3 linked regions of the Saccharomyces cerevisiae S288C genome follow. The protein of the gene in region 2 purifies or fractionates together with the protein of the main gene of each other region. This does not show direct contact. Each region holds a gene or a part of one and is shown on either strand. Other genes may lie near its edges.

Region 1 (4,166 bases), on a different chromosome or scaffold from region 2:
TTTGATGGCGCACTAGGAGAAAAGCTGATATCAGGGCCGACTGCTGCAAAAAAAATAAAAAATCTCTTAGCCCAGTATGGAGAAGCGTTAGAAACAAAAACAAGCAAACAAGTTATGCAGACTAAGATAGAACATTATATGGAAAGCATATAACTTACTAATTAACATTTTATTACGTATATACATCTACATTTATCCAGGAAAGAACGTCATAAATAATACTAAAATTAGCTATCTTCCAATACCTCTTGTTTCAACGATACTTTAAATGACAGCCAATTACCAACAAAAAATTATTCAGCACATTCTTCTGGTATTTATGAGTGTATATGTTCCGCATCTCGTCATGAATATTTCATGATGCACTTCATTTTCTTTAAGTGGTCCTTTAAGGGGTTAATGACATTACAAGGTCGATATTCCATAAAAAATGCTGGGTGAACAGAGTTATGAAGAAATAATTTTTTACCTAAATACAAACTAAGTCTTCTTCGGCGTGTTCAAAGTTTTATATTTGTGCTATCTGGCCCTGATCTGCTCTTCTTCGTTTTACCGGAAACATCTTTCTTTTCACCCTTTTGATTGATAACAGTAATATTCTTGGCTTTTGACAAAGTGTCAACAACATCATTCCTTTTAGATCTTTTGTTTACATTTGGCAAATTAGCTTTCGATCTTTTTCTTTTCAAAGCCCTGCGCAATCTGTTTTTATCTTCTCTGGTTAATTCTTCCTTAGACATTGCAACACCATTCTTCAAGCGAATTTCTCCGTCCTTTTCTGCTTTACCGACATTGTATATCTCTTGAGGAGCCAAAGAAGAGGCATTCGACATATAGAGAGGTTGAGCATCCTCCATCGATATAGTGGGTGTTTCAACTCTAATTTCCAAAGAAGTACTTGCTGGCTTAGGAACGAAGTGCACTGATGAAAGCACATCCAATTTATATACCAAGTTAGCATAAAGTTCTGATATTTCGGAATGTGCCTTTTGAAGCTCTTCACTTAATGCAGATTCATCTTCAGCGCGTGTGTAGTCATCCTCATATATTTCTGCTAACGACTTCGAGGATTTAACATCACTCAATTCAAATTGAGGCCGTTGAGACTTACGTGTGATGTCTAACAGGGTTCTTCTTTGAAGGTCGTCAAAGTTACTGTCCTGTATCCTTCGTCTAATCATATCTTCTAATGATTCTGTGACCTCACTTGTTATAACAGGAACAGGCTTTGCAGTTCTGTCGAATTCAAGTTCCTCAGTGAGCAATGCATCTTCGGGACGATCCTTTGCCTTTACTTCACCCTTCAAAGACCATTTCTTCTCGGCAACCGCTTCGTTTTCCAATTGTTCTATCTGTTTTCTAATCTCTATTTGTTGCTTTTCGAAACTAGATAAGTTCTTGTCACTGGCTTCTCCCACTCCCTCAGCATTCGGTTCATCTTCCTCATCCGCAAATAAGTCTAATTTCACTTTATCCATGGCAGAATCATGCTCTTCTTCATCCAATTCTTCATCTTCTTTTGGATCTTTTACGTCAGAGTGCTTCTTCACAGGTTCTTTTGTGGGTTTGTCAAAAAAGTCTTCATAATAAATAGCCTCCTCCTCCTCGTCATCTGAAGGCATATCTTGAAAATAATCTATATCTTCATCCTCACTCCCCTCAGAAGCTTCGTTAGAATCTTCTGCAGCTAAAGTATCCCTATTGAACTTTTCGAGATCGAAAAACTTATCATTGATACCATAAGGATCGGGTGAAGAATGCCTTTCATCTTGCCCAGAAGAAATTCTTTTTTCCTCCGCAAATTCTTCTCTAGCTGCCTCTGCACTGGTTTTTTCGTCATCCATACTAGGTTCTTCATCGTTCTCGGAAAGACTATCATTACTCTGCTCCTCAATCTCAGAAACATCAGCAGAGAGCATCTGCTTTTCTTTAAAAACACTTTCTGCCTCCTCTAGTTCACTTTCTTCCCCGGATGATGAGTTCAGGGTGCTACCATCAGAGAGATTGTGAGAAGGCGTGACAACATCTTTGAGTTCTTGAATTCCTTGAATTAGATCACCATCAATACTATCAAGAACTAGTTTGACCTGCCACCAAACTTGATTGGCGTCTAAACCATCAACAGTGATTTCGTCCAGTTCTGCTTTCTTTGTAATACTCCCATTCTTACAGGTATTGATAACTGAATCTATATATGCTTTAACATCTTTAGAAGTGGCGGAGGGGTCCTTCAAAATAATTCTGCCAGCATTAGATTTCAATACTCCAAAGAGTTCTGACATTATACGACTTTCCTTGGGTCTTTCGTGCACACATCATTTATTCATAACAAAACACTGTTTCTTCAAGAGCTCATCGCAAAATTGAAAATTTTCTGCTTCCCTCGCATGCCGGCGGCCAGTACAGAAAAGGCGGTGAATATTTTATGGAAATAATTCTACACGAAAATATGTATATTACGCAATGGTTTTTCATTATCAGAAGTACAGAGCTAATGTAAATGAATTTTAAGTAGAGTAAGTATGCCCCTCGTCGATTATGAAATAATTGCAGCACCAACACCTAATGTGGACAACACGACACTAATACATATGGTTACGTGACAAGCCACTCTCTCCCATGGTTTGATTGTTGTCTTGCACAATCTTAAATAGAACCAACACGGCAAAATTAGGCAAATTGTAAAACACAAACCGGCCCCCAGAAATGCGATAATCTTATCAAATTCAGGGAAATTAATAGCTATCAAAACGAAGACAACATTAATAAAGATCCTATTGAATACTTGAAGGCCTTTCGCAGCTCTTCTTTTTATGGCGCTGGCCGCTTCATCTATGTGTTGCACATTCATCAGAACGTCCAATACAGAAACGATAGGTCTTGCGTTCAATGGGGTCTTTGCGATAGGAATGATAGTCATAAGCGCTGAAATCAGACCATAAACGAATTTTGGATATCCCTCCGTCAGCAAAACGTTCTTAGTAATTTCATCTTTAACAAGATTTCCAAACATCAAAAAGCCAATAACTGCAGTACCTATGTCCGTAACCGATGTTATCTTATAGGTAGTTTTCAAACAGTCTTTAAATTTATCTGGATGCCTCATATCTGTCTTTAAGTTGGGAAAAACCGCATGTCCTCCCCAGCAGGCACTCAATAAACCTATAGATAAACAGAGATGCTTTAGATCTATCGGCCACATGCTCGTTTCCATCGGATTAACTAATGAACCTGGAGAAGACGACTTGTATAGTCCGCAGCAGCAAATGACTAGCACAGTTCCGGTTGTTGAAAGGATTCCCAGAAGCGAGATATTAGATAGAACACTCAATGGTATAAAAACCGGGGGTGTAACGATAAAAAATGAAACTATTTTGAAAAAAGTGGTGGAGTATTGAGGAAATAGAGCATTTAAAGAATCTCCGAAGAGAATCACCAAGGACACCCCACTACCCAGTAGGTCAAGTGTGAAAAGAGCAGAAATTAGTGCGCGCCCTTTTGTACCAAATGCTGCATATCCCAAGTCCGCGTAAGATATCAAAGTTGGATCTGTATCTAGGCACCTAGACAAAAGTTCAGCAGTACAAAATGTCGCTAAGGCGAAGATTGCAAGCATAGTAAGTCCTATAACCCAGCCGGCGTATTTCAAACCAAGAGGTAACGCCAGGAGCCCAATACCAATCAGTACATTGATTGAGTTGAATATGGTCTGTGGAGCGGTCGACTGACCAGCAAGAAGAGTTACTACCTTACCATCTACACCCTCCACTCTCTTCACTACAATTGAATCCATGTCATTATTTGTAAACCTTCTCCCCGCTCCACCACTCATCATTTCTGTTAAGGAGGCAGTAGGGCGTAATATTGACCCAGAATCCCCAATTGTTGAATTTTGGATGGACCCATAATCATCATCGTGAATAGCCATGCTGGCTGTACTAACTCTATCGTTGTTAGCCAAATTAGTAATGCGCGGGCGACCAGCATTATTTAAAGTTACTGATAATCTTCTACCGTCCAAAGCTGGTGCTAAAGTATCCGGATCGTAGGTTTCATCGTTACTCTCTTTGAAAAAGGATCTTTCATTATCCGCATTTAGCTCGATATTACGAAACGAATTGGCTCTCCTCAACGAAGTCGCAAATCGACTTAAAGAATTAACTCCC
Region 2 (3,746 bases):
TGCAAATGTCCCCACAGTTAATAAATTGGCGTGTGATCTTGGTGGCGGTGTTTGGAGATTTGTTGAATCCCCCATTGATCAGGAACAATCTCACCACAACGGCTCCGATCGGCTTTTAGTTTGTTGCATGTACAATGGTGCCAAGGTGGTGACCATGAATGATAATTCCGATGAGTATTTTCAAATTCAACATTATCTGAAGAAGGGCCATGATTCGATGTGTTACGGTGGCGACTGGTCAAATTCTTTGATCGCAACATGCTCATTTTATGATAATTCCTTGCAAACATGGATAGTTTAGAAAAAAAAATTCAGTCTGCAATATATGGACTAATATATAGGCTAATATATAGGCTAATATATAGGCTAATATATAGGCCATATTTTGATGATTTCGATAGATTATGCATAAAGAATTGATAGGAAGGAACTTGCCTGAACAATAATCTTTTACTCTATATTTTCTACTTATTATACATGATTCAGAAGCTTTGTTGAAAGGGGGAAAGACCGAGCGATATAAAATTGATGAAAAATTGATATTACAGCATCAATTGACATCAATCATTAAATCATCATTAGCTTCCTGTGGATCAACAAACTCCCTGCTGGCTCCTGCCAATAGTTCTCTTCTAATCTCAGGACCGATATCTTTATGGCCTCTTTGACGAACAGTTTCCAACAAGAAATCTCTCTGATCCTGGGTAATATCGTTCTTGTAACGTTGTGCAAATGTTAAGAAAGCCTTGTGCCATATCACTGGGAGTACTCTTGTAGCATCTTCCCCATTACTACCGTCATCCAAAATTCTAAACCTCATAAAGTAATACACGCAGTCGTCCACCGTCTGGTACGGTAAAGCATATTTTTTATCGAGCAATATTTTGATAAAAACAGTTGTAGGTGGAGAGAAAGGTAGCCTTAAAAGATAACTCAAGGCAGCTGAAGAATGTAAAGCCGGAACAGAGACTTTAGCAAGCACACTTCCTGCAATTGTCGCTTCACGTACATTACACCCTGTTTCAACCAATGGGAATAGGAAACCTTTGAAGAAGGCACTTGGTTTATAAAGCGATTTTTTCACCGCACGGTATATATGATAGTTTAAAGAGTGGTCTTCACTGGTCTCGATATTGTCACGGAAACGTTCAAGTAAAATTAGGTTAATAAATTTTTGAGATTCTTTAGCAGTTAGGTTGGATACAAATAATTTCGTTGCTTCGTAAACAACGTGTGGTGACCATTCTTCCGGGTTGGTCACATAAATGACATCTTGCCAATTTCTTAAGGATGGGATAACCTTGAACAACTTTGGCAACTTACCGTGCGTCCAAGTTTTTAAAATACTACCTACCGTAGTATATGCTTTGATGACCTTCTCTGGAAGTGCAACACCCTCTCCACTCTTCAAACCGGATGAAATATTGCCTCTTGAGGTATTCTGTTCATTAGCAAGTGGTTCATCATCTTGCATATCTTCAACTTGACTTTCCTTTTCTCGGATAGAGGCCATAATCTTGTCTGCAAGATTATAGCTACCACTTAAAGAGTTAAAATCATCTGATTTCTTGAAATATTGCTCAAACATCGCTGCGTCTTCTTCATCGATTTCAACTATCTCTTCCTCTTCTTTATAATCACCTTCGGGTTCAAAATCGGAGATGTCTTCTCCAAAAGCTTCTTCGTCTTCGTCTTCGTCTTCGTCTTCATCATCATAGCTCATGGTGGTGAATCTGGCTTCAAATTGCTTGTTTCTTTCTGATTCAGCAAGTTCCTCACCTTCAATTTCATCCTGTTGTTCCTTGGCCAACTGCAAAATTTTTCTTGATGCTTTGGAGTCTATGTATCCATCTTCCTCATTTGCAGCATCGTGATTTGCAGCATCGTTCTGCGCTAGCTTCTTTTTATTGATTTTTTTCAAGGTACCTTGAGCTGCATCTAAATCCTTTAAAAGTGGATCATGCCTCTGTTTTCTGGCTTTAGTAGAGGATGCTCTGGCCATTATAGTTAATCTTTCTAATATATTGTTTTATCTGTAAGTCTTAAAACGAGACAAATCTTGGATTTAAAACAACTTAGTGCATATTTCCTTTCGTCAATGTTGAAGAAGTGGGAGCTCATCGATTTTTAAAAATTTTCATTTCCGATGCCTCGCTAAAAAAAAAAAATGAAAAAGTGGAAAAATATGTTCTATTTCTTCCCCTACTGACACCACCAATAATACAACCATATAAGTTGGTACAATTTCTCCAAGCTGTACATCCTCTTGTGTTGTGAAATGTCTGATTTAACATCTATCATTATTGCGTATATAGACTGAGTCAAGATTATAAAGTATACATATCCAACCACATTACTCTTCATCCATTCTAACCTTTAATCCGTGCTCTAGTAAATACTCCTTTACATCGTTAACAGTGAATTCACCTCTGTGGAACATACCTGCACCCAAGCAAGCATCTGCGCGGGTCTTTAGGAAGGCCTCTTCGAAATGTTCGGGTACACCGGCGCCACTGGATGCAATGACGGGAATCTTGACCGCATCTTTAACATGTTCTATCAATTCCAGATCATAACCAGAATTAGAGCCATCCTTGTCTATGCAGTTCAATAAAATCTCCCCAGCACCTAGAGCTTCACATGCCCTTGTTAATTCCCACACACCAAGGTCTCTAGATTCTCTTCCACCTTTGATTGTACATTGGTACCAGCAGTATTTCTCTCCATTGGGGCCCGGATATTCTGTCTCGAAGACTTTGTTCTTCGTATCTGCTTGTGAATTTACATATACTCTCTTAGGGTCGACAGAAATAACAACTGCCTGAGCACCGTATGCTTTCGAGATTGTCTCTATTGGTGACGTTCCATCTCCTCTGTTACCCAACTCGTAGTATTTTTCGGCTGCATAGACTGCATCCGTACCGATCGATACTTTATCAGCACCAGATCTGAAGTATAGACTTGCAACTTCTAAAGCAGGTATTTTGGTTCCATCAACATCGACAATATCCTTGATCCCCCCACCGACTGTCAATGGAACAAAGACTGTCTTTGCGGCTTGTTTCAGAACCTCTAGCATCGGAGTATCCTTCAAAGGACAATCTCTAAAAGAAGTTATATTCAAAAATGTTACTTCATCCGCACCCTGTTGGTAATATTTCTGTGCCAACTGAACAGGCTTACCAAGGTTTCTAACACCTTTACCATCACTTTTTTCACGTACATCGTATTGATCACCTTTAGTAACCACCAAATCACCTTGGTCATTAGTACGTACATCAAGACAAGCAATAATTCTGCGTGTTAGACCATAATTTGAATAGTCATTCATTAAGAGTTCCTTCTCTTCCGCACTATAGTTTGGAATCGGAGGACTTTGTTGCTTCAAAAAATTCTCAATGACGTTCAAACCAGCTTTACCTGATTTTTCAGGATGGAACTGAGTAGCGAATATATTATTCTTGTTGACTGCCGCAATAAATTCCTCTGAACCGTACTTAGCTTTTGCAATTTTCCAACCGTCATTTTCTAGGTTTTTTTTCTTTTCTGAATTCAGAATGGCAGCAAAAGAATGGACGAAATAGTACCTCTTGTATGGATCCAATCCAAAGAATAGGTTTTCCGAGGGAATGCAAGAATTCCAACCTATTTCTGGTACTGGCTTTTCTGAATCATCGAACCTGGACAACTTAAAATCAATGTAGTTCAGACCCGTACTCTTAGGGCTTTCCACGGAACCGGCAAAG
Region 3 (3,606 bases), on a different chromosome or scaffold from region 2:
AAGGTTCAATAACAAACGTGGCTGTAATTCAAAAAGATCCTAACGGTTCTAAAAAGTATGTGACACCAAGATTAGCAACTGGATGTTTGTGCGGAACAATGCGTCATTATTTATTGCGGCTCGGCCTTATTGAAGAGGGAGATATAGATATAGGAAGCCTTACCGTTGGCAACGAAGTTTTGCTTTTCAATGGCGTCATGGGATGCATAAAGGGAACAGTGAAGACAAAATATTGAGCAGACGACAGATTTTCATATCAATGAAGTTTTTTTACAATAGTTTACAAATCATGATTTTACATACTCAAATATGTGCAGGTTGATACAGACAACGTACGTAGAAGACAACAAACAGAAAACAGCGGTTTATACATTTATTTAAATGACATACAGTGGAGAAGCAGAGAAAGGAAAAGGAGTGCGATGAGAACAGAAGATGAATACTTCGGTTGTGTTGGTTCCACGTACACATTAATAGCATTAAAAATTGATCCTCTGAAATTACTTATGAGTTTTACGTCTTTTGGTATTTGGCGTTTTTCCACTGGCACCAATTGTAATGTTAACCTTTGGAGGGACTGGAAAACCGTAAGACTTTGCTACTTTGGCTAAATCCAGCTTATCGATTTGATAGACAGTTTTCAAAGAGTGGGAAGCGTACGCTTGTAAATAAGATCTATAACCATCCTTGGCTGTTTGATGTAGATAATAGTTGGATTTAATTAATTTTTCTAATTGTGATTGAACGTTTGCAATTTTGTTTTCCGGGAATTCGTACTCATTTAATGGGACCTTGGAAGCCTTTAGATATCTTAAAAACCCTAATTCATTAGGTGTTAAAAACATTAAAGATTTACCCTTACCTTTAGTGCCTCTTGCGGTTCTTCCGACTCTATGAATATAATCTCTTGGATCATCAGGAGGGTCGAATTGAATGATCCAGTCCACAGCAGGGATATCTAGCCCTCTAGCTGCGACATCTGTACAAATCAAGATACCTCTTTCCGCATTACAGAATTCGAAAAATGTATTTGTTCTCTTTTGTTGTTTTTGCTTACCGTGTAATTCGAGGACTGGCAAATCAATATAGTTCAATAATTCAGCGTAATATTTCACAGAGTTACAAGATGATAAAAATACAATAATTTTCTTTTTTTGATTTCTTTTCAAGAAAGAAAATAACAACAAAAATCTCTTATCACTGTCACATACCACATAGCCTTGTTCTAATCCATCTGCGGTGGAGTTGTCGGTTTCAGGAACGACATTAATGAAAAGAGGGCCCGGTCTCAGCGAGATTCTAGCCAAATCCTCAACTTTGGTCGTTTGTGTAGCTGAAAATAACATGGATTGCCTATCTTCGTTTGGCAAGATCTTAATTATCTGCCTCATTTCATCTTCAAACCCAATTTCTAAGATTCTGTCCGCTTCATCGATAATCAAAGCCTTCAAGTTCTTGAATACAAATCCTTTTGTATTTTGTAAGTGATCCAATAATCTTCCAGGGGTAGCAATCAACATGTTAACACCTTTCATCAATTTTTCGGCTTCCTGTCTTCTATTTGCACCACCAATGACAATACCAAATGTCTGTGAATGGAATTCCATTAACTCTCTTGCCACTCCAAAAATCTGTAAAGCCAACTCTCTTGTAGGCGTAATGACAATTATACCGGTACCATTTCTTGGTTTGAATTTCAAAGAATGCAATAGTTCAATAGCAGGGATGAGAAACGCTAGAGTTTTACCAGAACCTGTCTTGGCAGCACCAAGAACATCCCTACCGGCCAAAAGAGGTGGGATAGTCCTTGCCTGAACAGAAGTCATAGTGGTAAATCCCATCTTTTCAATGGCCTTTAAAGTTGGCTGTGATAACTTTAGTTCTTCGAACTTTTCCACACAAGTAGTTTGTTCTCCCTCAGGTGCGGCATTGTTTTGTTTTGAAGTGCTCTTTTCATCTACTACAGGTTCTTCTGTAGATTCAGAATCTCTAGAACGTTTATTTGACGGGGTAGCCATACTTCTCCTGTTAATATTGCTCAGCTTATCTAATTATTATAGTATACAGTTATCCAATAGCTATGTACTCAAGTACCGTGTATACACTATAAAATCTCATCTCATCGCTAAAGCTAATATTGAAAAAAAAAAAAAAAAAAAAAAGAAAAAGCAAATAAAAAATTTTCAATTCGGGTAACGAAGAATCGACTCTCGCCGGGTAAACAATTCTTAGTCGTCATACACTCCTCTTTACGTTAAGAAAATAGAAGTAGCAGCGCTTTGTAAAGCATTAAAGCGTCATGGATTGCAAAATACACATAATATATCACTTGTGATAGTGAGAAATGGAATGAAGTGGTTTAAGATGCTCTTTTACCAATAAACATATTGCGCCTATCAAATCATTTTCCACCCCTGTTAACTGATACAGATATAGCCTTACATATAACTTTTGCACTCCCTAAAATTACCATGGCTGTTCACCGCCTGCTATCATCCATGTTTTTACATACATCTATTAGGTTTGCCATCTTAGCCGCCGAAGCTATCGTTGCCGGTACAGGCGCTCCTTGAATAACCCCCTCCCCCCCACGCTATTCTTCAAATTCCGATTTCAGCTTCTCTTTGTTTTTCCTTTTTTGGCACCTCGGAAAAACCTCCACGTGTTAGGTTATTCCGCCGATTCCACGGGTGGGGTGCTACCAAGACTCCTGAAAAAGAAACTGTATGACGAAAAGAAAAAAAAAAAGCTGCTTGAATTCCAACACCGCTTTCTTGTTCTGACAATAGAAAGGGGGATTCCTAAAAAAAGAAAAAGAGGGCGGGGTTTATCATGTACTCAGAATATGAAAACGTGTCGAACGGGGATGACTTCTTCTGCTTCTTTACTTCTTTCTATTTAGAGTGACAGTTTTTTTATTTGTTTTGCTAACTTGTTTATTTATTAATTTCTTGTTTGCTCCTTCAGTTACCTACCACGACTGTCTCAGCCAAACCGCGATATTTTCATACAATTGACATTACAACAGTTCAAAAAGAAAAATACACATCCAGGATATGACTACAGCTAGTTCTTCTGCTTCCCAGCTACAACAGCGCCTGCCGGAAGAAAAACCTTGGCCGCAACTGAGTGGCAGCAATGCAGACGCTCAAACCTTCAAATGTAAATACGTAACCAACCACAACTCCTTGGGCGATGGGAATTTTAGCGTCGTGAAAGAATGTATGAATATACACACAAAGGATTTGTACGCGATGAAGCTTATTAAGAAACAAACTGTCAAGAACAAAATTCAACTTATTCAAAGAGAGTTCGACCTTTTGAGGTCAATAAGCGAGAAAATCAGAGATATGGAAAAAAAGAATGAACATTCTTTGGACATTTTTGAGGGGCATCACCATATTTTACAACTTTTCGACTATTTTGAGACGGCAGATAACATTGTCCTGATCACTCAGCTGTGTCAGAAGGGAGATTTGTATGAAAAAATTGTTGAAAATCAGTGTTTAGACCTCGAAACTCAAGTTACCTCGTACTGCGCCTGTTTGGTGAGCGTTCTCGAGTTTTTGCATTCTCAAGGTATTGTTCATAGAGACTTGAAAGCAG

What was found. Proteins that work in one complex are often made in the same cells at the same time.
Region 1: the proteins of ENP1 (region 2) and MPP10 purify together in Saccharomyces cerevisiae (affinity purification with mass spectrometry; 7 studies listed by BioGRID, with this or other methods). This does not show direct contact.
Region 3: the proteins of ENP1 (region 2) and HAS1 purify together in Saccharomyces cerevisiae (affinity purification with mass spectrometry; 5 studies listed by BioGRID, with this or other methods). This does not show direct contact.

What each region holds. Positions count from the first base shown.
Region 1 is NC_001142.9:436,981-441,146, reverse strand, and holds MPP10 (rRNA-processing protein MPP10), read right to left. Parts: upstream 2,283-4,166; coding exon 501-2,282; downstream 1-500. Other genes in the region: MRX12 (Mrx12p), read left to right, coding at 1-153; AVT1 (Avt1p), read right to left, coding at 2,537-4,166. UniProt on the Saccharomyces cerevisiae protein: Involved in nucleolar processing of pre-18S ribosomal RNA. Required for the early cleavages at sites A0, A1 and A2 during 18S ribosomal pre-RNA processing.
Region 2 is NC_001134.8:712,454-716,199, forward strand, and holds ENP1 (snoRNA-binding rRNA-processing protein ENP1), read right to left. Parts: upstream 2,003-3,746; coding exon 551-2,002; downstream 1-550. Other genes in the region: RRT2 (diphthamide synthase), read left to right, coding at 1-301; HIS7 (imidazoleglycerol-phosphate synthase), read right to left, coding at 2,354-3,746. UniProt on the Saccharomyces cerevisiae protein: Required for normal export of the pre-40S particles from the nucleus to the cytoplasm.
Region 3 is NC_001145.3:849,574-853,179, forward strand, and holds HAS1 (ATP-dependent RNA helicase HAS1), read right to left. Parts: upstream 2,019-3,606; coding exon 501-2,018; downstream 1-500. Other genes in the region: aminodeoxychorismate lyase ABZ2, read left to right, coding at 1-236; protein kinase TDA1, read left to right, coding at 3,057-3,606. UniProt on the Saccharomyces cerevisiae protein: ATP-dependent RNA helicase involved in 40S ribosomal subunit biogenesis. Required for the processing and cleavage of 35S pre-rRNA at sites A0, A1, and A2, leading to mature 18S rRNA.